3 linked regions of the Tamandua tetradactyla genome follow. The protein of the gene in region 3 purifies or fractionates together with the protein of the main gene of each other region. This does not show direct contact. Links are inferred from orthologs where the notes say so. Each region holds a gene or a part of one and is shown on either strand. Other genes may lie near its edges.

The links.
Region 1: the proteins of ARPC5L (region 3) and ARPC1A fractionate together in Homo sapiens (co-fractionation; 7 studies listed by BioGRID and IntAct, with this or other methods). This does not show direct contact. The link is inferred for Tamandua tetradactyla from reciprocal best matches to the Homo sapiens genes ARPC5L and ARPC1A.
Region 2: the proteins of ARPC5L (region 3) and ARPC2 fractionate together in Homo sapiens (co-fractionation; 7 studies listed by BioGRID and IntAct, with this or other methods). This does not show direct contact. The link is inferred for Tamandua tetradactyla from reciprocal best matches to the Homo sapiens genes ARPC5L and ARPC2.

What each region holds. Positions count from the first base shown.
Region 1 is NC_135349.1:7,365,886-7,376,233, reverse strand, and holds the start of ARPC1A (actin-related protein 2/3 complex subunit 1A), read right to left. Parts: upstream 4,042-10,348; 5' UTR 3,905-4,041; intron 1-3,904. UniProt on the Homo sapiens protein: Probably functions as a component of the Arp2/3 complex which is involved in regulation of actin polymerization and together with an activating nucleation-promoting factor (NPF) mediates the formation of branched actin networks.
Region 2 is NC_135329.1:193,701,700-193,712,300, reverse strand, and holds the start of ARPC2 (actin-related protein 2/3 complex subunit 2), read right to left. Parts: upstream 5,808-10,601; 5' UTR 5,586-5,807; coding exon 5,579-5,585; intron 5,446-5,578; exon of another isoform or gene 5,045-5,445; coding exon 4,963-5,044; exon of another isoform or gene 4,960-4,962; intron 1-4,959. UniProt on the Homo sapiens protein: Actin-binding component of the Arp2/3 complex, a multiprotein complex that mediates actin polymerization upon stimulation by nucleation-promoting factor (NPF).
Region 3 is NC_135328.1:46,983,274-46,993,832, reverse strand, and holds the start of ARPC5L (actin-related protein 2/3 complex subunit 5-like protein), read right to left. Parts: upstream 4,651-10,559; 5' UTR 4,497-4,650; coding exon 4,348-4,496; coding exon of another isoform or gene 4,335-4,347; intron 750-4,334; coding exon 677-749; intron 1-676. Other genes in the region: RPL35 (large ribosomal subunit protein uL29), read left to right, coding at 8,984-8,986, 9,411-9,547. UniProt on the Homo sapiens protein: May function as component of the Arp2/3 complex which is involved in regulation of actin polymerization and together with an activating nucleation-promoting factor (NPF) mediates the formation of branched actin networks.

The sequences.
Region 1 (10,348 bases), on a different chromosome or scaffold from region 3:
ATCTAATCAAGACCCTCAGCTAATCTGCAGTTTACAGGAAATAAAGGGGTGAAGAATGAACTGAACAATACAAAGAGGAAATAAACAGATGAAGCTAGGATGTGGGCCACTGTAAAAAACAATTGGCCTGAATTATTTTTAAAAAAGCAATATAAGGGGGAAAAAGGGTAAACTGTTCTAGATTAAGAGGGCCATGGAAGCCAAATTCGATGCATGAACTTGATTATAATCTATATTTTACAAAATAACCATAAACAACATTTTTTACACAATAGGAAAAATTTGAATTTGAACTAAACATTACATGACAATATGTAATTCTTTTAATTTCCTTAAGTATAATAATGGTAGTGCAGTTAAATAGAAGAATTATCCTAGTTTTTAGGAGATAAAGATGATGAAGTATTTAGGGGTAACTTACAATATCTTCTGTAGCTTTTTTCAATAGTTCAGAACAAAAAGTACAAATACAGAGAACAAATTTGGCAAAATGTTTACAATAGATGAATCTAGGCACAGAGTATACAGGTGTCTGTTATACTGATTTTTAAATTTTTTATTGTAACTAAATGAAAAGAAGCAACAATTACCTGAAATAGGGGAAAGATTTTCAGGTTTTAGAAAAAAGACCCCCCCACTCCCACACTAACATCATTTCTGAGAGCCACTCTCACTACAATCTGAAGTTTGGATACACTCAAGGACAAGTCCTGTTAACCTAGGGTGGAGAACGAAACTGGAGATAGGAATTCTGATGCAAACAGGAAATGAATGGAAGGGTCACCAGAAAATTGTGCCAGGAACAATGAAAGCTCAGTTGACAACGCAGAATTCAATCCAGGTGGAAAGCCGAACTTCCTCTGACAATTGCAAAAGAACCCAAAGATAAGAGGTAAGTGTAGCCTGAAATAGGCCGTCTGATATCTTGAACTAGCAGAGAGATGCCAGTATTTCACATTCTATATACTCTATGTTTAGGTCATTAAATTTTTTTTCTTTTTTTTTGTTCTAGAAAGCAAATTGTAACTCATAAAGAAAAAGACCTAACAGAAAGTTAAAATAAACAAATGAATTTCAAACGAGACCACTTTTATTGTTTTAAAAAATGAACTTCCAGTTACTCACTGCATGATTCTTTATCTCTGATATCAGATGCTTACCACAACAGGTTTTACTCATAGATATTCAAGATTACATGTTGTGTCACAAATATCTCCTTAATTAAAACCAATTTAGTTCAAAAGCCACATTTTATAGGCTCATTTGTTAAGTGAAACCAAATTGGTCTGTGAATTAATAATTTAATATGAATAGCTACATGCAATAAAAACATGTTTCATGCAGTTAAAAAAGAAGAGCTTTTCCATTTTTCAACTCAGCTTAATAAGCAATGTAGCAAAGGCTTCCAAAAAGGCAAACATTACTTCTAAATGGCATAGTTACTTCTAAAATTGCATTTCTAATTTTGTTATATCATTCAAGTTCTATATTTGGACATATACTCAGACCTGCCCTTCTTTTACAATCATGTGGCTATTTTAAGTCTGTCAGCCAGACAATATTCATATTTGTCAAATTTATAACTTAGTAAAAACAGCTTGTATGCCACCAAATTCAGTGAATGCAGAGAAATGCATTTTTAATAACAGCCTGAATTTTGTACCAAGAAAACGAAGCCATCTGTAGTAAAATGATAATTATAACTTCTAAACTGCGATTAATATTTAAGTGAAATCTGAAAACCTATGTCTTAATGGGGTTAGAGAGGAGAAAAAAGGGTAGACAAAAAAGTAGTGCCATTAAATATAACAAGTTTTTTACTGACTATCTTGCATTGTCCAGCACTGAGAGAATTAAAAACAATATACAGCACAGCATGATTCCAGGATTCTCCCCCATCCCCTTTCTTTACTCATCACTTTGAGTACAGAGGCATTCTGATTGTACAGTTACCCATGAGCTCTGAAGCCAAGGGGAGCTGGGTTAGAATCCTAGCTTTGACACCTAATAGATGTGAGACCCTGGGCAATTTACTCAATAGCTCTAAATCTAATTGTTTTAATCTGTAAAATGGAGATATCGCTGACAACAAGGCTGTTGGTAGGAGGAGTAAAAGAAATAACATGCGAAAGCAACTATTTTGAGCTTAGCCCAAATTACATGCTCAGTAAATTAGCTCTTTTTTCATTTTGACCCTAAGAGCTTGTGAACCATCCTTAGAAGAATGTGCCAGTTAGCTGAATTGGAAAAGTTTATGTATGCTTTAAATTCTTGACCTTGCTCCTCTGCAGCTTCAATGTATTCATACAACTGGGAATTTCGGTTGACCTGTTTGGGGTCAGATTTCAAGACTGATTCATCCTGCTTTAATTGCCCAATCCAGCAATACCAGGTACTGCAACCAGGTTACCACACCCTCCCAGCCTTTATGGCTCCAATTCCAGACATTGGCCTCCCCAGCAGACCACCTGAAACTTCTTGATACAGAACTTATTTCAGCATAGGATTAAATAGCTAGACCAAGATGAAAATACTGACACTCTCCCTCCAAAGCAGGAGTTTAAAATTTTCAAGATGATCCCTTCCTTCAATTGTGACTAGTAGATGATTAATCTCAGAGGGTCTCAAAAAACTTTGTGGTAGGAGGCCACAGAACAATTACACCCACTTCCTAAAAGGTCAAAAATACCCTCTTGACTGATATCCTCTCCTTTTTTTTTTTTTTTTTTTTAAGATAACCGGGAAGACTTAGGGCTCATCTGAAACTAAAAGGTGGATAAAATTAATAAAGGAGGGCAGAAGGAAGATAACTTAGGTAATTCAGGCAATAAGTAGAGGTAGAAGTAAGTTAAGCATGTCCGTCACGTTCCAAAGCCACAGTGTGAGAACGGATGGCTTTGTAATAAAAAATTCTAAGCTACGATTGATTAAGTGCTTTACAGGTCCCCAGCAATGCAATATGTAGAGGGATGGGGCCAGAAACATAATTAAAACTGACACCTTTCTGGTTCTTATGTCTGGGGAGAGAGGACAGGCAAGAGAGGAAGGGAAGATGGACATGTACACAACACAAAGAAGCAGCAATACTACTACATTTACTGAGCACCTACCCTGGGCGGCAAACTATTTTGGCAATTCATGCAAATAAACTCATAAGCTCCTCAGAAAAACCCTAAGAAACGGTTATCGTAATGACTGTAGGTTACCGTAATGACTGTCCTATTGCAGATGAACTAACAGAGACGCAAAGAAGCCCTCTTCCCAGGGTCACCCCCTAAACAGCGACGATGCCAGGATTGGAGATCGACTATAGGGTAGAAACGTGAAAGATGTTATCTTATAAAAGATCTCAGAGGCGGGTGCACTTGTGATTTGAGGGAGACGGGGAATTTTAAGGAACTCAAAGGGAAGATTTTTCTCGAGTTCGGGGATTCCCCCAAAACTGAAGAATGAGGTCTGCCCTAGAGAGGAGTCAAACATTCATTCCATGGGCTCCACTGTGTGTAAGAACCTATTCTAGACTTTGGAGAAAGACATGGCACTCGATTAGGGGAAGATCATCCCACTTATTATCAGTTTTATACAGACTGTGATATATGCTCACAATCGAGGTGTGAACAGGGCCCTGGGCGCGCAGGTTAAAGAGCTGTTAATTCTTTCACTGGAAGAGGCTTGGCGCTCGAAATTCTTGAGAGAAGCGATCTGTTCTTGTGAGGACCCCACGGAAAAGTGGGGAACCCCCGTGGCCCCCTCAGCAGGCCCGGGAACGGGGACCCAACCCGCCCCTCAGCCTCCGGGCCCAGCGGCCCAAGTCCCCGCCTCGCCGCCCCCTGGGCTAAATCCCCGTGGACAGACCGAGCAGAGGTGGCCAACAGCGCCAGAAGCTCGCCCCCCTGCCCTTTACCTGAGGTCGGGGTAGTCTGGACGGCCGCGGAGCGGAAAATTCGCGGACTCTGGTCAGTCGACGCGAACAGGCTCCGGCGCGCGCGGGCGGAGACCGAGGCCGGGAGGGAGCGGCTGACAGATCCCGGAAACGGCCACAGCGCCTGCGCACCGCGGCCAAACGGGCGGTCTGCGCACGCGCACAGCTCGGTTGAGCGTTCCGGCGTTGGGGTAGGCGGCTGCCGAGGAGCGGCGCCACAGCACCGCCTGGAGGTGGCAGCGAGACAGCTGGGCGCTTTTACTCCTCGCGGAAGATTTTCTCAGACTCGCAAGCCGAGATGTGGAACCTTGGGGGCTTCCCAAGTGCTTTTGTCGAACACAGGAATTAACTGAGAATTGGAGTTTTTCGAACCATGTGTGCCTGACGAACGAATACGTTTTTCTTCTTTCGGAGACCGCCCCCCCACCCCACCCCAACTCCAGTCAAGGCCAGTGGACCTGTGCTCGGCTCCCTGCGGCGCTTGTGTGCTCCAGGTCCCTCTGGCCTCGCTGGGCCAGGGGTCGCCGCCTCCGCCTTGTTCCCTCTTGGAAAGCCTCTGAGGCCCTCTGCCCGGAGCTTTAAAAACTCAGCCCTTCCTTGGTCAGAATCACTTGCTGTTTGTGATTGGAAGTCCAAGATGATACCAAAGGAAAGAGAAGTCTGAGGAACTAAGCACCACCAACCTCCTCCCCAAAACGTGGGAAGACTGTGCTTGCCGTGCAGCTGCAGCTTCTGAGAAATAATCCTGGTGCAAAAAGATGCCGCCCTTGAAGCCCTGAAAGTTCTGGAGCAGCACTCCTGTCCTCTGTGCCGCTAAAGGTTGCTAAGTGCTTATTGCCTTCTCACTGGTGGTTTTCATGTTTGACCCCACGCTTGATGGTGAGGTGATGTTTACAAAAAGGAAATTTGTTGAGCTCCCTATTTCAGAACCACACTATTAGGTTCGTTGGGTTAGTTAGTCCGGCTGTTCATGTACCACTAATGAACTGGAAGTCATTGGTTTTACGTTGTCCTATGGCTACAAAGTCTTTGGTCATAGGGGAATCGAGGACAGAGTAGAAAGATTTTAAGATTAATCACCCCTTCGAGAGGCGATCACCATATTAGCAAAGGAAAGATGGCATTCATGGGAAACACGGATTCATTCATCATGTGCCTGCAAGTTACCTAAACTGGTCCACGATTATGTTGAGTTGGTACCCACAGTCAAGTATCAACAATGTTCTAACTAGATTCCACCTTCTTACAAAGGACAATTTCTTCTTTTTAGGAGTTTATAATCTAGGAGAGAAGAATAACATACAAATGAACAAAAACAGACTCTTTATGATAATAACAAGAAATGTTAGGCCTAGAAAAATGACAGACACATTTAATATTAATCTTTGGTTCTATCTTTTAAATCACCATTTTGCATTGTAGCCTCAACAGAGGTTACTGCCTGAACAGTTACCACTTGATGCATTTTTGTAGATGGTAGCTTTAAAAGGGCCTTTATAGATTTAACCACTTTATTCTTTAACTGAGAAAGTGGACTGGCCTCCTGACACCTATTGAACCCCATTATGCCCTGGTAGAGAAACCATTGGAGTTCCTAGGAGTATGAGTTATTTTTAATGTTTTTTAGATTTGTACAGTTTTTAATAACACTGATTTATTATCCAAAAGGAAGCCTCTGCCTTTTAAAAAATTAGTAGCAAGAAAGGCAGTAAGAGGTGGGAGAAAGAGAGGCATTAGACACTGCTATGTGATAATTTTGTTTGCCCTATTGGTTTTTTCGGTGTTGGATTGAATTGGAATTTGGTTAAGATTCATCAAATAGTTAATGAGTATTCACTCATTAAATAATAAATAATGCCAAGTATTGTGTTAAACACTTCATGGACTGTACAGAAGAGTTGACTAAAATCCCACTGTCTTTAGGAAACTTAGACTAGCGTAAGACCACTTCATGAACAATTTTAAATATAAGAAAATTCACAGTACCTCAGACTTGGAAGGTCCTAGTTATGACCATGTTTTCCTTTAAGTCCTTTACAGATTTATAATAGCTACTTTACTGTTTTTATCTTTTTTTAAAAATTTTTTTAAATTAATTTTTAAATTTTTAAAAAAATATGACAAGAAAGAAAAAAACGTTCTTGACATGTAATCATTCTGTTCTATGTATATAATCAGTAATTCACAATATCATCACATAATTGCATATTCATCCTCATGATCATTTCTTAGAACATTTGTATCAAATCAGAAAAACAAAAAGACAACAGAAAAAAATTATACATACCGTACCCCTTACCCCTCCCTTTCATTGATCACTAACATTTCAATCTGTTTATTTTAACATTTGTTCCCCCTATTATTTATTTTTATTCCATATGTTTTACTTGTCTGTTGATAAGGTAGATAAAAGAAGCATCATACACAAGGTATTCACAATCACACAGTCACATTGTGAAAGCTATATCATTATACAATCATCTTTAAGAAACATGGCAACTGCAACATAACTCCATGTTTTCAGGCAGTTCCCTCCAGCCTCTCCACTACATCTTGAATAACAAGGTGATAGCTACTTAATGCTTAAGAATAACCTCCAGAATAACCTCTTGACTCTGTTTGGAATCTCTCAGCCATTGACACTTTATTTGTCTCATTTCGCTCTTCTCCCTTTTGGTCGAGAAGATTTTCTCAATCCCTTGATGCTGAGTCTCAGCTCATTCTACGATTTCTGTCCTGTGTTGCCAGGAAGGTCCACACTTCTGGGAGTCATGTCCCATGTAGACAGGGGGAGAGCAGTGAGTTTGTTGTGTTGGATAGAGAGAGAAGCCACATCTAAGCAACAAAAGAGGTTCTCTTGGGGGTGACTCTTAGGCCTAATTTTGAGTAGGCTTGACCTATCCTTTGTGGGATTAAGTTTCATAAGACTGTTCTTATCTTTAAATGACGTTTGTCTGAGTTATCTCAGAGAGTCTTTTTTTATTGGTTGCTTTTTTTTTACCATGCTTCTTTGTAAGTCTAATAATTTGTTATTGTGTATATTGGATATTGTGAATGATCCATTGTTGAGGCTCTGAATTCTGTTATCTTCCTCTAAGGAGTGTTGATATTTGCTCTAACAGGCAGCTGCTTATTGTATGATCATCTTTAATCTGTGGAGGCTTGGTGTCTTAGTTTGTCAAAGCTGCTCTTACAAATACCATACAATATATTAGCTCATGGTTTTAAGGCTTGTAATGTTTAGGTTTATATGTCACCTTGGCCAGGTTATGATACCCAGTTGTCTGTTCAAGAAAACACTGGCTTGTTACAGAGAGGACATTTTGTGGACTTAAAACATTAGTAACTTGATTGCATTTATGGCTAACTACATTTACAATCAACTAAGAATTTCTTCAGCAGTGAGAAATATTTTATCCAACCGGTTGAAGCTTTAAAAGGAGAAGTGCTAACTTCAGTAGTCAGCAGAGAGAATTTTCATCTGCACTTTAGCCAGCTGGCTTCTCCTGGGGAATTCATCGAAAACCTTCATTGGGGTTACCAGCTTATAGCCTGCCCTATGGAATTTGGACCCATGCATCCCCACGCCTGTGTAAGACACTTATATAAAATTGCATATTTATAGATATCTCTGTTGGTTCTGGTTCCCTAGAGAACCCTTAATTAATACAGCTTTGATACCAGAAGTGGGGCAGTCATTGAGAAGCAGAATTTAAAAAATGGGCTTTTAAAATTGGTTCTGGGTCTTTGTAATTGGTTCTTTACTCTGTTTAGATTCACAGGCACTCATGACTATATTTCCGGTAATCAGTAAAGCACTGACCATCCATGACATGAATTAACAATAGAGATACACAAAATATCACCACTGAATACGGCTACGCATGTGCTTAGAAGAGGCAAGGCTCTGGATGAAAGTGTCTTTGACACCTTAACAGAGTTTTGTGGAGTTAAAAGGTATCGTGATGTTGACTGTTTGTTCCTAAATACATTGGATACAATTACAAATGAAAGTGATGAACTGAAGTTTTCAAATTTGCAACTCATGCACTGCAGGAAAGATATGCAAGTATCTATGTGTGTCCTGAAAGAAAATCTTATTTCCTGTAGCTGCAGATTTGAGAGTTCTGAAAACCAGGCCTAGAATCTCACTGCGGGAGTGGCAGAGTTAGTGTAAACTAAATTCCCAGTTTTGCAGGGTGTCTGCTGTTTAATTAAAGGCATTAATTGGAAATCAATGGGATCCTGAAAATTGGAATGGGGACATATGGGTTGATAATGATGGCAGTGGAGACGTTGAAACCCTAGATTCTGATGAGTCTTTGCTAGAAAAACCTGTAGTGGTCTGCCTTGAGGGGACAGCCACTGGACCGCCAGCCTGCCTTGAGGAAACAGCTTCCAGTCTGCTCTGAGGAATCTGCCATCCAGCCCCCACCTGGAGAGATATAAACCATACAGTTCCTGATAAATCCATAACTACCACTCTTAAGGAAACAGCCCTCAGTCCTCTGTCTGGAGTGATTAATCCTTGTTTCACCAGTTGAAACTGCAAAAGAATACTCTGAGGTAATTGGCTTGAAAGACACTTCTAATTCCTTTCTTGACCCACCCCCGTCTACCCCTCTTTCCTTCAAGACCTATAACTAGATTAAAGTCCCAATAAGCCCCCAAAAGTGATGTACAAAGTGTGACCCATGAGGAGATATACTCTACTCCAAAAGAACTGCGTGAGTTTTCCAATTTATATAGACAGAAATCAGGGAATATTTGTGGGAATGGATATTAAGGATGTGGCATGATGGTAGAAGGAATATAAAGTTGGATCAGGCTGAATTTATTGATGTGGGCCCACTAAGCAGAGATTCTGGATTCAGTGTTGTAGCTCAAGGGATAAGAAAGGGCTTTAACAGTTTGTTTGGGTGGTTGGCTGAAACTTGGATCAAAAGGTGGCTGACATTACTTTCGATCAAATTGCCAGAACTGCCCTGGTACAAGGTACATAAGGAAACCCAAACGCTTAGAGAGATTGGAATGTTAGAGTGGATTTATCGTGGAAGATCTGCTCACCCACCCTAGGAATGTCCAGAGGACACACCTTTTACCAGGACTGTGAGGAATTAATTTGTGAGACTAACTCCATCTCTCTGAAGAGCTCTGTAGTTGTCTTTTATTACTGTGGGAACCACTGTCACTGAACTAGAATGGCCTTTTGAAGACTCAATTATGGCACAACTAGGTGGTAATACCTTGCAGGGCTGGGGCAGTATTCTCCAGGAGGCTGTGTATGCTCTAAATCAGCGTCCACTCTCTGATGCTGTTTCTCCTATAATCAGGATTCATGGGTCCAGGAATCAAGGGGTGGAAATGGGAGTGGCACCACTTACACCTGGTGAGCCACTAGAAAATTTTTTTGCTTCCTGTCCCTGCAACTTTAAACTCTGCTAGTCTACAGTTCTTTGTACCAAGAGAAGGAGAGTTTCCCCCAGGAGAAACATGATTTAATTGAACTGGAAGTTAAGACTGCCACCTGGCTGCCTTGGGCTTTCATGCCTCTGAATCAGCAGGCAAAGAAGAGCATTACTGTACTGGCTGGGGTGATTGATCCTGACTATCAAGGGGAAATAGGACTGCTACTGCACAATGGAAGTACAGAGTTGGCCTGAAATACAGGAGATCCCTTAGGGCATCTCTTAGTACTATCTGAGCAGGAGGAGGGGTACAGCTTATTTAAGATGGTTGGTGGGGGTAGGAGGTGGTACATTTTCTTTGGCTAGCTTGAGAGCAGGAAATTGGCAGTCTATGCAGGGGAATTATTGCAAGCTTATAGCTGCCTGGCTGTAACAGCCCGAGGGTGGAGGTTGGATAAGAGGCACTGTTGCAGGAATGCAGCTGCCGGAGGGTGGATGCAAGGATAATCATGGCTCTGCCACCTGAGCAGGGGCAGGTTTGGTTTTGTAAGGGGCCTCCTGGAAGTTAAAGGTGGTGGTGGTGGTGGTTCTTGGAATGTTTGCTAAGGGTCCCTTATTTCATGGGGCCAGGAGGATTAGCCTTATACCCACCAGGCAAAGAACCACAGCCAGCCAAAGTGCTTGCTGTGGGTAAAGGGAATATGGAATTGGTAGTGGAGAAGGTAGTGACAAATAAGACCTATGACTACATGACCAGTTACAGAAATAAGAACCCTGAATGATACAGGGCTAGAAGTCCAAATCAAGATATTGGCAAGGCTTACTTTCTCCTAGAAACCCATAGTGTTCTAGTGACAGCTGCTAGCAATACTTGGACTTCCTTAGCTTGTAACTCTGACTCCAGTCACACAGCAATCTTCCTCCTTGTGTCTACTCTTCCAGGTTCCCCTGGCTTCTGGTTTCTTCTGGGTGGACTTTTCCATCTACTGGTTTCCAACTTCTTTATATGGCCTCCAGT
Region 2 (10,601 bases), on a different chromosome or scaffold from region 3:
ACTCAAATTTTGTCACTTACTGGGTATATAACCACAGGCAATGTTACTCAAATGTCAACAAAAGTCAGTTTCCTCTACTACACTTGGGGATAAAAATACCTACCTCACAAGGTTGTGCAGAGTAAGTGAGATATGTATAGTAGTTTGCCAACCAGTGTTTCTTGAATTCATTACAGATGTGCTGTGATGAGCCCTGAGAGCAGCTAAGTGGCAGGGTCTCTAGGCTTAGCCATTTGTCAGAATGTACCATACAAATATTTTCACATTCTGTGTGTGTTGTATCATAAACAAGGTCAAGAATCACAAGTGAAGAGTGGCCGCAAGAATCACAAGTGAAGAGTGGCCGGCACAGTGCTTCATACAAAGTAGTTACTCATTAAATGTTTACTCCCTCCACCAAAGCCCTAGTTTTCTCAACTGTAAACGGGAACTGTTACACAGGAACATTGTGAAATTAAATGAAACCATGTTAAAGTATATAGCATAATGCTTGGTTCACAGAAGGTGATCAATAATTAGTTTTTTTCTCCTAATCAGATTTTGAAGTTGTAGTTGAGAGAGGTTTTGGGATAATGGTAACTCCCAGAACCAGGAATTGATTAGCAGTACAAGGAGAAATAGATAACTCTTTAGTAATGTCAGACTGTTGTAATCTCTAGAATCCTAGAACAAGCCAGCTGGATAAATCCTCAGGGTTACTGAATGGATAGCCCAAAACACTAAAAGATATTCAATTCATTCAAATGGGTTTCAAGAGGAATTCTTAAAATCTTCTAGAAAAAATTTTCTTCTCCTCCTTTTTAACGAGTTTCTGGAATGAACTGGTCAGTCAATAAAGGACTCTTGACAAATGCATGACCTAGGCCTTTTTTTTTCACTAAGGATCTTGGCGTTTTTTACTCCTGAATGCATCCTAGGATCCAACTCCTTACTTGGGCATTTATCCCTCTTCCGTTATCCCTTCCATGAGTTGAATTAGAGGTATTACTGAATTCTTCTCACTATAAAGGTTTCTGATCACTTTCCTTTAAATCCTATATAAAGCTTTCATCGTTCTACCTGAGCAAAGCGTACAAAAAATGGACATTAGATAAGAGGTAGTCTTACTATCTCTGCCAAGTCATATATCACAATATGGAGAACAAAAGAACTAAAAGCTGATTCACACAATGTCAGAGAAGTGATAATCTCTTAAAGAAAGCAGGAATCATGACACTGGCTTCGATCATTCCTTTCAGAAACATTTACTGCCCATACATAAATTGAGGATACTGGGAAAACAAAACTCCATAAGGAGCTGTCAGTTTGGTGAAATGTAGCTCTGGGGCTTCATCCCCAAACTGGTCCCAAGGAGGCTGGAAGACAAGCAGCAGTGTGTTAACAACCTGTAAAAAGACCATCCAGATCGCCTTAGCAAGCCAGCCACTACATCCCATTTCTTCTAAAAGCTTAAACAATGTCCTAATTCCAAATCATTTCAAACCAGTCTGTCTCTCTGAGGACAGATGCAGCATATTTGGGAATGAGAACAAGGTAGCAGCAAGATTTAATTTATTCCTTTCTCAAATTCCTCCCACATCCTCGCCCACCCCAACTGGCACTGCTTGCTTACTGAGCTTCACTCCCCCTCAGAGAACCAAAGCTCCCCACAATATGCACAGGCTGTGGCAAGGAGCCACCATGTACTTAAAATCAACAGCAATTCTCATCTGACAGCATTTCCTCAATTGTGGACTCCAGACTCTAGCTAAGTAGCCAAGCCTAGCTTCTGAGGCTGAAAAGGTTCTTGGCGCGTATAATGTAACAAGAGAAATTAATCTGCCATATTACTTCTGGTTTAATTGGAGATCTGGGTAAGAATTCCTAAATGAAAAGGCGCTGATGTTGATAAGACCTGAATATGTGGTTACGTGCAGTGTTGGGTACAGTTTTTTAATCAGTTGCAACCTCTTAGTTTGAAGGTTGTCAGAAAGACAATTTACCAATAACTATCATTTTGTGAGGGTGTAAGGACTGTTTCAATAAACAACTTTTCCAGGTATGTGGTGGGAAAAAAATAAAATACGATCTGTTTGCAATGAATCTTAGCCTTTGTGTGAACTGCTACCAAATTAAAAGCTAATCAGGACCAAATGTATCCACTTAAACAGGTTAGATGACAGACCTGCTTTACCCAGAAGAAAACTGAGACTTTTAGTAGGATACCATAAGGCAAGAAGATCCAGTAGGATGTTCTGAGAGTCTTCGTTAAAAAATATCAACCCCCAAAGGAAAATTAAAGCAACTGTACTCTACATGTATATATACATATACACCACAGAACTATTTTAAAGACTAACTCATGCTTACATTTTCAGTAGATGGAATAGTACTGTTCAACTGAACTTTACGCAATAAGGAAAATATTCACCATCTGCATTGACCGATTCAATAGTCACAAGTTTCAGAAATGTGGCTAGCATGACTGAGGAACTCAATTTTTAGTTTAATTAAATTTTAATTAAGTTTTACATAAACATAAATAGCCACATGCAGCTAGTGGCTATTGTGCTGGACAGCGCAGAGCTGGAAGATTCATTCTGGAAAAGGTTGCTTTGAACCCTCATTTCTTCATTTGGTTTGCTCTGAGAAGTGTAAAAGCAGGTTGGAGCTGACCTCTCCTTGCAGGCTTGCATACTGGCAAAGCCTTTCAAATCCAAGCCACTGCTTCTCTTTAATATTTCTCTGATCTCCCACCCAACCCTACGTTAACAGCTTCTCTATAACCTTGCCAATAGGTCTCTTAAAAAGCCCTCTTTTCTCTGCTCTTGTCTTGGTGCTGAACATTGGCGGAATCCCATACATGTTTATGATCATCACACCAGTCATCCTTTGCTGGAAGTTCTGGCATAGGCATGTGCTGTAATAAAATATCTAACTTCTTTCCTGCTACCTCATCTTACTGGTGTGCCTGGAAACTCAAACTTGACTTGGAAGCAGGCTTCTGCTGGTTGTTATATTTGCAATCCCAGAAAAGCCCTACCTACTGGGCCTAGTATCATGGTCACTTTTCAACTGTTTTTCAGCAGAATAGATTTTGAGTCTACTTATTTAAAGTCACATCTCAAAAAGAAGATGGACCAGAATAAAAGTCAAAACTAGCCCACCCCCCACATCCAACTTTCCTACAATGTGTATCTTTCTAACAATTGTCCTGGAAGTTCTAATTTATGATTTCTTGATTTAAGGGCCTGCTTTATTTCCTCTGAAGAGGTTAGCTGCTAGTTTTAAGAGCAATTTTCTAAAAGAAAAAGAAAGTTGAAGGTCCAAATAGTGGGTCACATTCTGTAATCACAAGTTAATAATACCCAAGTAGATGTGAACATACTCCTACATTACAAGGCATGCCTCTACTTGAAAATACACAGACATTTATCTTGCAGCCGCCAAGTTTCATTCTTTGCTAGTCTAGACTTGAAAATGCATTAAAATCGGTTGAGAAAATGCAGAAGTTAACTCAACTTCCTCCTATGTGCTACAGTGCTCAAAAAAGTACACAGCAATTGCCCAAAATAAAACCTCGGGCTGATTCACTTGAGTATTTAAAACGCAAAGGAATTGGTAAGAGGCTAAAGACAAGAAGTTAACCTAAAATATAAGCAACTGCAGGCGTTGGCATCAAATGGTAATGCTCACTGCATGTGTTACTTCAAGGAAAGTCATGCTTTGTTTTACAGATAAAATCTGGTGTCTTACAAAGGAGAAAGAATAAACTATATTTTCAATTTAAGTAGTCTGTTAAAAGTACCCTTTTAATTTTTTTTACTACCTTGAAACCACAAGTTCACTATGACTACTTAGAATTTCCCCTCTGCCAATACTCTTTCATTTGTAGATCTCCAAGCACTTACTTTCCTATTTCTAGTTCCCAGTTCATCAGACTCAGTTTGCAATTATTTTCTCAACTATAAAACCAAAATGTGAAACCCCAGCTTCACAAATGGGGAAATGAGGCAAAGTACTAGCCACAGGCCACTTTTCTAAGCTTATATTAGAAAACCAAAGCAGCTTTGGAGGAGGGGTTCTTTTCTATTGGTTCTTGTATTTGACTAAGACTGTCTTGGAAATACGTTCTATGCCCATATTTAAAAAGGCCAACAGTAAAGAAGGCTAAGAACTTTTTAGACTGGGCCAGGATTACCGCAGAAGAAATCACAAACCAAGGGTCTTGTATAAGAATTTATAAGACAAACAACCTGATAAAGACTACGAGAACTTCAAAGACAGATAAAGAAGGGGTGTGGATTGAAGGGCTATTAGCTTTGCTTGAGAAATATGCAACAAGATGGCCAGTTTCTTCTCACAATAGGGTCGGGGAAGGGAAACTAGACAGATCGCGTTTTTCCGGTTGCAAGACTGGATCTGACTAGGGAGAGAGAATGGGTGTGAAGCAAGCAAATGCTTTCAACCTTCTCTCCTACACCTTTGGAGGAGGCGGTGGGGGTAGGGAGCAAGAATGGTGGCGGTGATGTGGGCATGCATCTTCTCTTCTCCAGTTCTGGGAATCCCTGAAAACTCCTTTCAACCCAATTCCAAAACCAAAAGGGTTCTCTTCGGACGTAGAAAACAATGACCAGCACGACGGAGGGAGGTGGTACCCCCTCCTTGCTTCAGAGGGCAAATGGATCCTCCAAGAAGAGTTCCGACCCCAACTGCCCTCACGCCCCAAAGGACTTCTGCCCTTTGGCAGGCGCACTCCTGACCACTCACAGCTTCCGCATCCCTCCTCCGAGCTTCGCCCCACGCATCTCTGCCCCTCACCCCACCGCGCCCAATCTCTTCCCACGTCTACCGGGCGGCCCCCCACCCTGCCAGACCACCATCCTTCTCCTTCAGGTCTGGGGGAGGCTGGACGACACCAGAGACTGGCGAGGGGTCGGTTCTGCTCCTCCACCACCCCCAGGGCCCCAGCCATGCGCTCACCCGGCGGCGGCGTTCTCGAACTTGAGCGCAAGCGTCTCCTCGATGATGCGGTTGTTCACCTCCAGCAGGATCATGGCGGCGGCTACCCCGGGCAGGGGAAGGAGAAACGAGGGCGGGTAAGGGTGGGTAAGGGAGGAAAGGACGGAGGGAGCGGCCCTGCTGCCCCCTGAGGAGAGGGGCTGGGTGCGGTAGGATGTACGGGAGAAGGGGACAGGGACCAGGGGAAGGGGAAGGGGAAGACACGCGCGCTAACCCGCGCACGCACTCACTGTGGAGACAACCACCCACCCGACAGACCTGGCCCCCGAAGCCTGAACCCGCCTGCCGAGCCGCCGCCGCCGCCTCACCGACAAGCCCGATCCCCGCCCAGCCCCCGGCTCTAGCCGGCCACTTCCGCTCTCACACCCACTTCCGCTCACCGCCCGAACGCGCGGCCCCGCGGCGCCATTTCCGCTCGGATCTTCCTCGTGCACGCGCACGCAGGCACGCAGGCACGCCGGGGGTGGGGTGGGAGGGGTAGGTGGCCTGAGGCGGCGCGTGCGCAGGCGTCTTACCGCCGCCCTGCCTCTGTTTTCCTACAAAGCCGGTTCACAGTTGATTCAAGATTGTCCCCTACCTGTCATTCCCCAGGTCCTGCGTCAGTGTTCAGATTCTCCGTTCCGCTTGTTCCAGAGGTCCAGCCTCCCCTTCCGGTCCTGTCCTTTCAGAGACCCCAAAAGTAAATCGCTCCTGATATCTCCCATCCGGCTTCTTTTCTCCCGGTTTGTTCGTTCTCTGTGTCCCTTCCTCATTCCACGTTAAAGACTGCCCAGCGGCATCGTAGTGCATTCCTGTCTCCCACAGATACTTAGAAGGTTCTGGCTGTGTGCTGAAGATACAGTGGTGAACGAAATAGATGGGGTCCTTCCCTTGTGGAGCTCAGGGTCTGGTAAAAGAAACTGGCCAAAAACCACTCAAATATATAATTATAAATTGTTAAAAGGGCAACGAAGGAAAGGAGCAGGAAGTCACCCTGGTGAATAGGCGAGTTAGATGTGCCTCCCCAGATTCCTGTCCTGCCTCCATTTCTGTGCCTGCGGGAGCTTCCTCCGGGTAGTTTTCTCTGGCTTTGAAACCCCTTACCTTATTATATCTCTGCTCCAGCAGTTTCATACTCGAGCAGTTTCATACTCATTCGTGTGCGGGATCTGAACTCATCTTTGTGCTGTACTTTCTGCCCATGTGACTTGATTTGTATTTTCCCTCCTCCAAGAAGTTAATAAACTTAATTGAGTGCTACTACATGCAATAATTTATTTTCCAAGTGCTCTGTAGGGAGAAGGGATCCAAAAACCAAAAAGCTAGCCCATATCAAAAAGACAGCCATTTAGAACCGGTTTTTTTATTTACTGCGGTGGATAAACTTCAGAAATTGCATAGCTCCCCAAATTAAATGTTATATGCTAATGTTTTAACATTAATGTTTATTGTATTAAAATAATGCATATACACAGTTTAAAAGCATATACATTTAGTACTAAAAAGGCTTGCAATGATAAAAGCAATTTCCTGGCCCACTCTTCAGAGGCAATACCCTCAGGGTTTTTAGATATTTATTCTATTTACCTTTCCGTTTCTGAATAAATGTTTATACCACTATTTCTTGGTTTGTTAATTTTAAGCATTATCTGTTGACTTTTGACCAAATAGGTAACTTGGCTCTACTACTTTCGCTTCCCCTATCCCAGCCCTACATAACTGTGTAACAATTTTTGGTTAAACAATAATCAATATTTATTAGTATGCAAATATTTATCACTGATGAGCCAAGAAATGCACTGTAACTGTAACTGAGAAATTAGGGTTTATGGAATGATTTTGATTACTGAATTGTTATATATTCTTTTTTTTGCTTTCTGTTATCTTGGAGCAGTCAGAGGGAAACACCTGAAATCTCTAAATTGTAATCCAGCTTCCTTGATCTCTTGATAATGATTGTATAGCCTTTATCTTCTGCCCCTGTGATTGTAAAAACCTTGTGACTAAAAAACAAACAGAAACCTCAGCCTTGTGACTCACCTTCATTTGTACCCATTTATCCAGTTTTTCAACTTCAGAGTCTTATAATAGCCAAAGACAGCCCCTAATATTTATTAATGAAAGGGCTTGTGTCAGTCCAGAACTGACCCGTCCCAACTCCAAAGTTATCTTGGTTACGGAGACTGGATCTAACCAAAATGGGCCTGCCTGACAACGTGCAGTAACAGACTTTAAACTACAAGTCACTTAGACCTCATTATAATACTAAAAATCATGCCCATCATCATATTAAGATCATCATTTTCTTACATATGATCATGTAATCAATCTGTAATTGCATGTAATCAATCTGTGCGTGCTCAATAATTAGATCCCTCTAATTACATCATCTGGGACCACTGTGCTCATTATCCTAAACCCTGCCTGTCTGTTTTTATCTATACAGCTATCAGAATTACTGCAGTTCAGGGAGACAGATTTTGGGCCGATAGGGCAACTGATCTCCTGCTACGTGCCTGGTGATAAGCTTTTCTCTCTTTGAAACCCTGGTGTCTCATGAATTGATCATTGAATGAGCCAAAGAATCCACTGCCTTTGTCCGGTAGCACAAACATACCTTTTAGCTTATGCAGTTCTTCATTTTCCCTAGGGTTAATTATTGCCTTTTTACCCGCACTCATTTGATTTCCTATATGTTTATACTTGGCCTCCCCCATTTCCCCACAATGCTCTAAGACTCAAAAAATCTAGCAATAGTATTTCTATATACTCAAATACATAAGTTCCACTTTTCTCTAGACTGTTTGTCCCAGAGCCTTCTTTGCTTTTGTTTCTATTTGGATTGATTGCTCTCTAGGCTTGCTGCACAATTGTCATTCTGGGATTTTCCTTCATTGCTGTTCTGGGTTGGTTTTGCCAGTTTCCCAGGTCCTGTCTTCCTTGTTCTTGATTTACTCCCTTGTTTTGCTGAAGCACCTCATCTAGTAGCTTCCTAAGAAGAGGACATGGGGGTTATGTCATTGGAATCTTTGTATATTTGAAACTGTTTTATTTCTACCTAACAGTTGATTTGTAGTTGGGTTGGATATTGAATTCATTTTGAAAGTAATTTTCCTCGTAATTCTGAAGGTATTATTCCATTTTCTTCTGCCTTCCAGGGTTGTTATTTATTTATTTGTTGTAATTTAGAAGTTTGATGACTTTTCATATTCTTGATCCTTTGTATTTTATGTCTCCCTGGTCTCTGGAAGCATTAGAATTTTCTCTTTAGCTTATTGATTGGAAATTTGACAATGATGTGCCTTGCTATGACTCTTAATTCTTTTGTTTTGAGCACACATTCAATATGGAACTTATGTACTTCAGTTCTGGGGGATATTTTCTTTAATTATTCCCTTGATAATTTCCTATTTTCTTTGTTCTCTTTCTAGAATGTATATTATTTGGATGTCAGACTTTGTGGATAGATCCTTTGATTTTCTCTTTCTTCTTTTTGGTTTGTTTTGTTGGTCTATTTTTCTGGGTTATTTCCTTGTTATTATATTCAACTATTTTAAATTTCAGTTTTCTTATTTTTAATTTCCAAGATCTTTTGTTCTCTGACTGTCTCCTCCCCACCCCCTGCCCTCATTATTTGAGCCTTCTTTTATGGACAGGATTGTCTTATAATATCTGAGAATATTATTGCATGTTTTGTTTAGTTTTTCTTCTGCACTCTGCTCTGCCTCCATTTCTTTGAGTCCCTTTTAATACTAATTTGTTTGGGCTCTCTCTTTATTGTTAATAGCTAGCTTCAAATATCTGGTTATCTTTAGCAGTCTGTTCATATTTAAGGATGAAACCCTAAAAACCTGACTGCAGCTCTGAGCTTATGGGCAAGGTTGGTTGACTAATTCCTTGCTACTCAGCAGTGTGGTCCAGGGACCAGCAGCATTGGCATCATCTGGGAGTTTATTGGAAACATGTAATTTTAGGCCCCATGAAAACATTCTGAATTAGAACCTGTATTTTAATAAAATCACTAGGTGATTCGAATGTATATTAGATTATGAAGAGCACTGGACTAATGAGCTTCACCATGGAAGGTGCACCAGATGATGTGCCAGATTTTGCTGGGCCTGCAAAATCTTAGTATTCTCTTTTCTCCAGAGAATAATTTCTCAGGTGTGTTTGGGGATTATGAACTTGGCTGTGGGTGTTCCCAGAGTGTGCAGGGAGCTGGGAAGGCTTGGGTCCCCAGCTGACCTCCACTTAATCCTATCATTAACCCTGTGCCGCCCCTCTGCCTTCTACTAGGCTAAAGTCTATAGAAAATCAGTCCCTGGTGGTGGAGATGGAGAAGGGGGGCTGGGGGTAAGGTGGGTGTTCTAGTTTGCTAGCTGCCGGAATGCAATATACCAGAAATGGAATGGCTTTTAAAAGGGGTGATTTAATGAGTTGCTAGTTTACAGTTCTAAGGCCGAGAAAATGTCCCAATCAAAACAAGTCTATAGAAATGTCCAACTTAAGGCATCCAGGGAAAGATACCTTGGTTCAAGAAGGCCGATGAAGTTCAGGGCCTCTCTCTCAAGTGAAACGGCACCTGGCAAACACAGTCAGGGCTTCTCTCTCGGCTGGAAGGGCACATGGCGAACACGGCGTCATCTGCTAGCTTTCTCTCCTGGCTTCCTATTTCGTGAAGCTCCCCAGGAGGCGTTTTCCTTCTTCATCTCCAAAGGTTGCTGGCTCATGGACTCTCTGCATCTCATGACTTCATCGTTCTGCTCTCTCTGAATCTCTCCTGAATCTCTCATTCTCCAAAATGTTTCCTCTTTTATAGGACTTCAGAAACTAATCAAGACCCACTCAAATGGGTGGAGACATGTCATCCCTAATCCAGTTTAACAACCATTCTTAACTAAATCACATCAACCAGGGAAATGATCTCATTACAGTTTCAAATATACAGTATTGAATAGGGATTATTCTACCTTTAAGAAATGGGATTTATATTAAAACATGGCTTTTCTTAGGGGGCATACTTCCTTTCAAACCAGCACAGTGGGTTAGGGTAGTAAAGGGGGTAATCATTTGACTGCTGGGAATAGGGAAAAGGAACTAGAGTGCCAAAGGCTCTTGCATAAGCTTCCCATTTTTTCACTTTGTTTTGGCTTGTTTAAACATATGACTAATACCACAAATGTCTTTGTACCCACCACCCATTAACATTTTATGATTACATTTGACAATTAAATTTGATTCAGATCTTAAAAAAAAATACGGGGCGGGCCGCGGTGGCTCAGCGGGCAAAGTGCTTGCCTGCTATGCCGGAGGACCTCGGTTCGATTCCCGGCCCCAGCCCATGTAAAAAACAAACAAACAAACAAAATACAATAAAACAAGAAAATGTTTAAAGATGTTTCCCTTTCTTCCTCCCTTCCTTCCTTCCATCCTTCCTTCCTTCTCTCTGTCTTTCCTTCCCTTCCTCCCTCTTTGAAAAAAAAAAAAATAAAATAAAAAAATAATAAAAAAAAATACGGTGGAAACCTCCAGTGAAGCCTACCCCAATTCCATTTCTTTCCCTCCATATTTTCTTTCTTTCTTCCTCAAATGTAATCACCTTGCATTTGATATTTATCCTT
Region 3 (10,559 bases):
ACCAGCAAGGCCTTAGACTCCACAGGATCACAGTAGTGGGGGGCTTTTTTTTTTTATTAGGTTTACTTGGCTAGAGCTGCCATCCGTGTTCACACTCAATTACAGAAAGGATATTCCCCCCACCTCTAAGGAGGTGTAACCACTGGTTACATCAAGATGCTGTCACAAAATCCCAGCTGGAGGGAGATCTCTTTCCCTGGACCAAATTTTAGACAGCTTCAATGATACAGTAAGTACAACTTAACTTCTTGCCTAATTTTTAAAAGCCAGAAAAAATTTAAAAGCACTTAAAATCCTTATGTATATAAAGCCTAGCCATAGCCTATAAAAGCATAACCACTGAGAAATCCCACATGGCAAGCTAATTTATCTGTTTTGCTAATCAGCAAGTACTGGATTTACTTCTCACCCCATGAAGCCCTGGAAGGAGTTTCTTTGGGAAGCTTTTACTTTAAGCACTAATAGCTCTGATGTCGGAGGAGCCTTAACTTCTGGTCAGTGCCAGGAGTCTTCCATGGAAGTAGTGCCCAGTGCTAACTCACTCCCTTGGCACATACTCACTGATGCAGAGATGAAACAGACACTGTCCGGAGCCCCAGGGAGCTCCAGCTGGGGAGATGGGCAACCAGAGCCCTGGTCCCAAAACCCAGCAGAGCCGCAGCATGACCACCTTTACCTTCACAGCTTGATTCTTGGTGTTGACAGGGGAATTCCGCAAAGCTGCATGAAACGCCCGAAGCATGTCCCCTGTGCATCACCACCAGTTAAGGATGGTTAGGCTCAAGCAATGTTCATGTTTTCATTAATGAACTCATTTCAAAAGCACCCCAAGAGAACAGAATCAAATGGGATCTTCTGATTATCCACTTCCACCCACCTTCCACTGCCTTGGCTTCCAGCTGGGCACAGCCTACTTAGGGCAGGCTATAGCTTCTCTGAGCCACAAGGAGAGTGGAGGGCACCTGTGCCAAGCCTAGAAATCGCTCTTTCTGCCTTCTCCTAAACCTTCCCACTCAAAGCACATTTTGACACTCATTCACTGCAAAGCATTAGCAAAGCATGCTCATTTTTATGCTAAAAATGGAAAGAAAAAAAAGGCACAAAGAAGAGTCTCCTAACTCTTAATCCAATGCTTTTTTGTTAGATTATTAAGTAAATTAAGATATACTAAAACTTTCATTCTCATCTTCTAATACCAACCCAGGTATATGAGGACACAAACTGCTACCAGCAAAGGCTTTATTGATCTTAAGAACTTCTCACCAACAAAATGGGCCAATTCTCCCTCAAACCTTAGCTGCAATCCTGCCACTACTCTGCTGAATTCTGAATAGCCAGCACTCAGGAGAAAATTACAATCTGGGTTAGGTCCTTAAAGGTGACACCTATTTTAAACTGAATTACATCAGCCGACTTTCATTTCCTCATCTGATGCACTGGCTTCAGCCAAAAAGCTTCAAAAATAGAACAAGGAATGGCTTCTGCCCCGTCGGGTCTCTACTCCTGTTCATGCAGTGATGCCCATGTGCAAAATGACAAAGCCTCAGTTTTCTCTAGTGTGGGCTCCATCTTGACTGAGCTGGGATTATGCCACCAGGAGAGCCTCCCCCAATCCCCTGCTCCCAGTGTGGCTCTGACCCAACTTCCATGCTGGAGCAGCAGCTAGCCCCCTTTATCTTTCAGCTTTGGAATTCCTTCTCCCTAGCCTAACAAGGGCCAACCTAAAATCAGCCACTATAACTATCTCACAACCTTTTCTAATTTGGGGTCCCCAAAACAATAAGCAGGGCTCCAGAGGCTTCGCAGGTAAATTGTAGGCTGAATACTCTCCCTAGGGGAGAAGGGAGTAGTGCAAAATCACTCAAAACCACTACTCTAGACAGATCTCTGGCTCAAGAAGACAGGAACCTGTTTCAATAAGGAGAAAAAGGAATTAATACTTTAAAACTCCTAAAAGATCTCAGATCCGATGCCAGGGCTTCACATGTCAACTACTGCTAACAAGGATCATTATTTCCACTTTAAAGTCAACGAAGCTGATGCTCAGAGAAAGGGAAATGATCTGCTGGAGGTCACAAAGCTTAGCTATTCAGCTGGCCTACAAACCCATGCTTGCATGACTCGAAAGCTAAGTTCTTTCCAACCCCATGCTACCACAACAGTGACACACTCAACTATGTCTGGGATGGACACTTGCTGTGTGCGAAGCACTGTGCTGGACCCTTCTGGGTGTTGTTCCATGACAGGCCCACAGATTCCAAGAGGCCAGCATGTTCACCTCCATTTAACTGAGGGGGGTGCTCAGGTTCAGAAAGGGCATGTGACCCACCCAAGGCCATACAGAGCATGACAGGACTGGATCTATGTGGATGCAAAGTCCATGCTCTTTGTACTTCATCTGTGTGATTTCCCATCATGGCATGCTTCCCAATATAGCAGCCTTAGGACAAGACCCCTTGTCACCTTCCCCTACCCCAAACAGTCCTTCTGCTTACTTCATTCTGCTCTGTCCTAAGACTCCTAGAAACCTGTTCTACAGTTTAAATTAAATGACCTAATATAAGTCCAATACCTGGGCACATGGTAGGGGTTCAATAAATACTCGTTCTTTCTTTCTTCTTCCCTGGGTTCCCCACTTGCGTGGATTTCAGTTTTCATCTACTAACCTCACTTTCCCCTAATCCCCAGAGGTACATGCTCCAGTAACAAGGTTTCTGACATTGTCATTACTGAAGAAACTACCATACCCAGATGTGCTAAAGCCTAAGCCTCCAAGCATCTTCTAGGGACTTATCACCAATCATGGACATAGAAAGAGATGTTCCTGCAGCAACAAGACCAATGTAGCAGTTAACTAGGCCTTGGTCTCCCCATCTGTGGAATCAGGGTACTGAGCCACAGGCCCTACAGCCAATCATCACTGCCTGCCCAAAAGCTAGGTCCTCCACCAGGCTACAGAATTAACCTTCCCTCCTGGGGACTCTTCCTATGACCCCATTTTGCTAGTGGGGTAAGCAAGGTGATCTTGTTGAAACAGCAATTACAAACTTGAATTCCCATCTCTAAAACCACATTCCTGTTCAAACAAGGTTTTCGTTTTAAAGGCACACTGGAGAAACCTGGTGGGGCTCCTCCCAAAGACAGTCTATGAGTGCAAGCTGAGTCAACTGATAAAACACGAAGACCCTGATTTATATACTGCCTGAGTCTCCAACCTTGCCAGGCAAGTGCAGGGGGAAGGGAGGGCACTTCCTGTAAAACAATTTGAATAAAGAAAAATACTTCCTGTGAGAATAAGTCAGTTTCCTGTGCTCAAACTGCTAAGGTACCAAGTAGGCTGTAACAACCACCTCTATTTTTAATCTTGTTTTCCAAATGCATGTTTCCCGTGGCCACAAGAATAGTCATTTCCAGTCAAGTAGCTCTACTTTTACATTTTACTTTACCCCCTCTGGTTTTTCTTAGCTCTAAGATACTCGTTTTTTCTGCTGCGTCCCGCACAACATACACAAAAAGGCTATTGAGGAAGCCAAACTTCCTTATTGAGCATAGATGAGACCATCAGAGTTCAAAGCCCAAGGTGTTCAAGAGAACTGACAATAGGTGAGAATGAGTAGCATTAGGCTGGAGGTTCAGATTGATCCTGGGGTGTGAAGTGCACACACTCAGACCTCAGGGCTCGACTAAGGCCTTCATTACTTCATGAGTCCTTTTTTCCCCCGCAGCCAACCACCCACCTTTTCTCACGCTGTGCTGCAATCGGATCCAAGAAAGCCAGGAGAGGGCTATGCCCGGGACCGCCCTGGCCACTCGATTACTCAGGAGTGGCTCACCTCAGCCCCTCCCGCCGACTAAGCCCGTGAATGGCCCCGTTTCCTGCGAGAAGATGGAGTGATCAGGCGCTCAAAGAAGGGACAACCTGGGGATGGGGGATGGGGAAAGGAGACAAGGGGGAGAAATGAGAAGAGGCCGGGTTAAGGAGTGAGGGACGTCCGAGGTGGGCATGCTACAGGGGCCGTCGAGTGAGCCAGCCCGTTCACCAAGGAGTAGGGCCCGAGAAGGGCTGCGCTGCAGTACAGGGAGGCGCCGGGGCCTGGGATAAGGGGTGGAGAGGAGAACCGGTCTGAGGAAAGCTGTGCCGGGGATGAGAAAACTGGGGAAAAGGAGCTTCAGTGGAGTCGTATCGGAAAAGAGTTGGACACTTCGGTCAGAGGGGACCGAAGCTAAGAGAGTGGGGAGGCTCGGCCTGAAGGGTTGGAGCCCGGGATGAGGCAAACAGGATGGCCGAGCCAATTAGCCCAACCGAGAGGAGCGTGAAGGCCAGGCCGCCGCACCGGGGAAGGATATTGCCGCAGGAGCCCGTCCACTTCGCTTGGGTCCGGGCCTGGCTCGGCCGCCGCCGCCGCCGCCTCCTCTTGCTCGTCCACGAATTTGTTCTCGTCAAACTCGTCTATATCCACTCGGCGGAAGCGCGAGGACAGCGTGTTCCGGGCCATGGCGGGGGGCTCGGCGCCCGCCCAACCACCTCGACTCTGGCGGGGACCTCCACTCAGCTATGCTCGGTCTCCGACTCCCGCTCCGGCTCCGGCTCCGACTCGGGGGGCGGGAAGCGGCCGCTGGGACCGCCCCCACCACCTCCGCGCGCAGCCTCCACCCGCCCATTTCCGCCTTACGCCGGAACCGGAAGCACCTATGGCTGGGCGGGATGAAAGCTGGTGGGATTCCGGTTTCCCCCGGTCGGAAAAATCGGGCACTCGCCTAGGTGGTTTCTTTGACGCCATACTTTGATCTTCATAGAACCTGTCTGCCCATCGCGGGAGTGGACTCACCTTCCCATTGCAGGCCTGGTATCTTGTATGCCTTAATTGTGTGCGTTCTCCGGCTTCCTCCTGGCCTTGGGGGGTGCCGGCACCGACACAGCCGCAGATATCCCGGGTGAACTCTACCCGAACCGAAGGGACACGAGGCCCACAGGGGATGGCGCCCGTCCTGCCTGTCGAATGCTTGTTCGGCTTCTAAGAAAAGAAATCTTCCACCCGAGCCCTGACGAATGAATAGGACTTTTCATACTCCGGGGGGGAGGGGGAAAGGGGGAGTCTAAGGGTTTTGACCCCACCACGTTGAGCACAGAGACGACAGCTTCTGCCTTGTAGGCCTTATGCACAAATGATCCCGTTATTAAATGAGTGGGAAGGTTTTTGGTTTTTTTTTTGCATAGGTAGGCACCAGGAGTGGAACCCGGGTCTCCGGTATGGCAGGCGATTGCTCTGCCTACTGAGCCACCGTGGCCCGCCCAAATCAATGGGAAGACTTAAAGACCGTGTATCCAGGGGACTGACAAGACGCTGAAGATATTTCGCCCTGGGGGTGCGGCGACCATGCATGTGTGACGGTCAGGAGAGGACGATGACCCTAAGGCCACCATCCTGACAGGAAGAGTAAGGGCCAAAGGGTTAAAGGAGTGGGGCTTAGAGAGACATTTCTTTATGGGTAATAAAATGCGCAGAATCTGTGATGGGGGAAATCGAGGGGTCAGGACAGAGTCTAGGAGTGCCCCAAAGTACCAAGATTAAGTGCTTGGGCTTTCGCTTGAGGGATTTCGTTAAACCGTCTTAGACTTAGGCTGAATTGGGTCTTTTTTTTCATATAACAGTATTCTTTTTAATAAAGGCCAGTAAATGAAATGTGAATCTTTATTATTGCTTTGGATATTTCTCACTGAACTGAACAACAAATCAAAAAAGTATTGCCAGACTATGATGCTGTCTAATCTTGGATACTAAAGATAGACTGCCCCCTCCCCCCCCCCCCCCGTGGGAAATAGGTGCTGAATAAAAGTTATCAGGAGTCCTGGGAAAACAGACCGAAAAAAAAACAGTGGCATTTCATTTCAGCTCTATAGGTGGGAAGAAATCGTTTGTGATCCCAGGGAGGCCAAGAGAGGAAAAATTCATACTCCAAGGAACAGCCTGGTCAGACAGGATTTTAAATCAGGACTGCCCACTTTACATGGAAAATAGTGCCCAAATAAACTGGTGAACAAAACAATGTCCTTTCTCCAGATTGTGAACTTCCATGCTAGTCACAAATTAAAAATCCACTTATACTCTAATGGATGACTAAGTACTAAAGGAAAAAAAAATCACACTGTGCTCAGTAGTTTAACTTAGAAAAGGTGGTCAAAGCTGTTCCTGAGGAGGTGACACTGAACCTGAGGGAGGAGCCAAGCAAAGGCTTAGAAGCAAGGCAAGCTTGGTGTATTCCAAAAACAGCAAGGATGTATGCTGGAGTATGCTGGAGCAAAAGAGTGAGATAGGATGGAGGGGACAGATGATAAAGGGCTTTGCAGGCCAAGGAAAGGAAGTAGTCAGCCCTGTAAGTGCTGAGCAGAGTTATGATCTGGCTTGAGTTTGAAAAGGGTCTCTAACAGTTGTGTTTAAAACACATCAGGGCTCCCTAAGCCCAAATCTGCAAATGAACTCTTAATGCACCCACCCACCCACCACATGGGATGGGACTTTCAGGGGTGTAAGTCTCCCTGGCAACATGGGATATAACTCCTCAGTGTAGGACATGGCCCTGGCATTGTGAGATTGACAATGCCTTTTTGACCAAAACGGGGAAAAGAAATGTAACAAAATAAGGTTACAGTGGCTAAGAGATTTCAAATAGAGTGCAGGCTATTCTGGGGGTTACTGTAATGCAAGGTTCAGCTAGAGGCTGCAAATTGCCAAGGTATGCAAGGCCCAACCAACAGTATTCCTGAAAACCCTAGAGAATACCCAGGGATCCATCTGAGACTCTGATCGTTTCACACACTAAGTTTATTTTTCAGAAACCTAAAACTTTCAGATTGTTCCCATGCCAGAGAAGTCCTAAAACCCAGAAGTACCAGTCTCTCCAAGAACGTTAATCAGTTGCATCCCCCATTCCATAATATCAACACCCCTTCTCAACATGAAGAAGTTCGAATGGTCATGGCCCAAATATCCCTAAAGTTTGGGAGAAGGATCAAATGAAAGAGAAGAGTTGTAAAAGAGAAGATAGGATTTAACAAATGAGTATGACTACCTAGTCATTATACTAAAATTTCTTTTTAGTCTCCAGTGTATTAGAGCAGCTAGAAGGAAATACCTGAAATTATGGAACTGTAACCCATACCATACTTTGAAGTGTGTCTATAAGTATTTGTTAAAATGTATCTTGAAAGCTAGAAGGAAATACCTGAAATTGTGGAACTGTAACCCATACTATACTTTGAAGTTTGTTCTATAACTATTTGTTAAAAGGTATCTTGAAATCTCTTTCTTTAATGCATATATGGTATATTTCACAATGAAAAAATGCTTTAAAAAATAAAATAAAACACATATGGGAGAGATGGCCAAAGTAGGGAGGCAATTTAGGAGGTTACCACAGTGTCCACATAACAGGCATGGTAGATCAGGTTAGAACAGGCCTATGAGGGTGGTGGGAAGGGGGTGAGATGTATTCTGAAGGTAGTGCCAGCAGAATTTGCTGATGGTTTGAATGTGGTTTTAGAGAAACAGGAATCACAGATGACCTCAAACCTAGAAAAGGTATACACAGCCAATAGCCGTAGTGGAGTATGAGCGTTTGGAAAGTATGACAGCAAAGCCCCTGTGCACCATTAGACTTTGATTTAAGATTAATCCATGCCAAGATTGTCCTGTCTGACCTCTCTTCCCTATTTCCTTCCACTTTCTGGAAGCTTGCCTAGGTGCTGTGGTCTGAGGTAAGGCTCATTCATTCATTCTATCCAACATTATCCAAGTACTGTGCCTAAAGACTAAAAATGCCAAATAGGTGTTAATCATGGTTCTTCCACCAGGGAACTTCCAGGTTGAATGTGGAGACAGGCACATAAACACATCATCTCAGTATAAGCTAAAGGGAGTATGAGCAGAGGAGGTTGCTATCCAGACCAGAAAAGGGAAGGCTCCTTGGAGGAGCCTGATAGCAACAGGGAGGCCTCAACCAAACCTCTGAAAGATCTGTGTCTTTGTTAGAGCACCGGAGCGACAGTGGAGCACTGACTGATGCTTACTGGGTGGGGTAGCAATGGAACTTCCCAGGCAGGAGGCCTGAGGTTCTTCCCTATTTTGTAAATACTTTATAAGTTCCAGGGCCCAAATCAAGTTGTCCGTTGGCCTGGAAACATTAATACTAATGATATACATACATATGTATACGAATCCCCCATTACGCACACAATACCGATATTCTGAGCGATCATTATGCATCAGGCCCTTGTGTTTAAGAACTTTGCACGTATCATCTCTAATCCTCATAAACAACCCATTTCACAGGTGAGAAAACTGAGACTCCAAGAGAGAGGAAGGGACATGCATAGGGTCGCTGCCAGTATCTGGCAACAAGAGCAAGTATTTCAAACTTGGTTGTTTTGTTTCTTTTTTTTTAACCATGAATGTTCTTTCACCGCCGCATGCAGCCTCCATTAGAACGTTTATGCAGTTGGAATACATTGTAGCTGTCTGACCCGCCCCTGCCCTCCCACCTCGCGGTCCAAAGCAGGGGAGGAATGAGGAAGCCATCTTTGAAAACCCTCACCCCTCATCCTTCTGCAGCCCCAAACCGCCGGCGCCTCGCTCACAGCAGCACGGACCCAACGACCTGAAAAAGTTTACCGAATGACTGAATAGACAAATTCGAGTCGGTGCTATGCCATTTCCAGTAAACCACCCCGCACCCTAAACTTCCGTTTTCCCAACTGCGCGGCTCAAGGAATAAGGCCGACTTCTTTGGCCTCTCAAGCCTGATCGGAGGAAAATGGGGAACGGAACGGAAGGAGAGGAAGGGGCGGGACCGGGGCTCCCCCCACGCGACATCATTGGCCGCGCCGCTGCCACCCGGCAGTAGTTGTAGAGGTCGCCCACGCCCCTCCCTCTTTCTCTCCCGGCGAGCGGCAGCGGCGGCGGCGGCGGCGGCGGCGTCTGCAGCGATGGTGAGGGCTTGGCCATCGGGCGCCATCCGCACGTCCTGAGGCTCCGGGGCTGAAGTGGCGGGTGGGGGCTGAGCCCCGGGATCCCCTCTGCTGGCTGGGCCTGTGGGGCGCCGCGCGGAGCTGCCCAGTATCGCCACCAGCCGGCCTCCCGTTTTCTCCCCCTGCGGGACGGAATCCGAGAGAGAAGCACACGCGCGCTCACCTGGGCTTCAGCCTTCTCGTCAGCCGAATGGGGGTAGCGGCTCGGCCTTGTATCAGGCTTGGCGGCACGGGGACGCCGAGTTTCGACAGGCCCCCGGCGCGCTCTGGCGGAGTCGCGCGCCCTCTTGGGACTGTTCCCGCTGTGGTGGAAGGGAAGGAATGGCTCGTAGGTAAGACTTCCCCGCGGGACATCTGACCCCACACGTCCGTTTCTCGTGCGTAGGCCAAGATCAAGGCTCGGGATCTTCGCGGCAAGAAGAAGGAGGAGCTGCTGAAACAGTTGGACGACCTGAAGGTGGAGCTGTCCCAGCTGCGCGTCGCCAAGGTGACAGGCGGCGCGGCGTCCAAGCTCTCCAAGATGTAAGTTATCTCGCGAACGGACCTTTGCCCTCTGGGGATGGGGACCCCATGTGCTTCGGGACGGACCATTTGTGGGTTTTCGAAGTTGTTCTGGAAAGGTGTCCAGTAAGTGGATCTGTGGGCCTGAATGCCATGCCCTGTCGAGCGGGCCTTGCCAAGCGACTTTGCTCACCCAGCGGCGTGAGCCTTCCAGCTTAGCTGTATGTGCTTTTCGGTTTACTTGCCCTTGACAGTGCCGCTCCTTTTGCCTGAAGTACACTTGTTCAGCTTCTCTGACTGGATAAAGAGCTGGGTATTCCTCTGAAGACTCTTGAAGACTGCCTCCAAAAGCCTAATGGGGCTCTTTGTTTTCACCTCTCACCAGCTTTTGATTTTCCCCCTACTTTGTTGACTGAATGTCTTGGACCTCTTTAGTTGTATGGTAGCTTTTGATTTGCATAGATAAGAATCATAGACGGAGGGATTTGGTCTGTCTCTGGTTCTACCTGCCACATCCCACCTGATGCCTGTTGGGTGAACTCTTAAGAGTCTTTTTTCTCTTTTTAAAAAATGCCTCTTCCCTGAATGTGAGAATGATAGGAGGAGGAGGGCTGGGGGCACAAATGAAATCAGAAGGAAAGATAGACAATAAAGACTGAGATGGTATAATCTAGGAATGCCTAGAGTGTATAATAGTAGAGACTAAATGTACAAATTTGAAAATGTTTTTGCATGAGGAAAAACAAAGGAATGACAATACTGCAGGGTGTTGAAAAAATATGGTAATTAATATTTTGAAACTTCAACTTACTGTGAGACTAAAGCAAAAAATGTTTATTTGGTTCAAAATTTATATTTTGACTAGTGCATTTCATAATATAACTTATGTGGACAGCTTAATTGAACATCATAAGTACATAGAACCTTGAGTAGGGCATGAGATTTTGTAGGTTTGTCCAGAGTGATTTGAACAGTGAACAAAAAAGTATTTGCAAACCCCCCTTGGGAAATGGTGAAAAGGGGGGAAAACTCA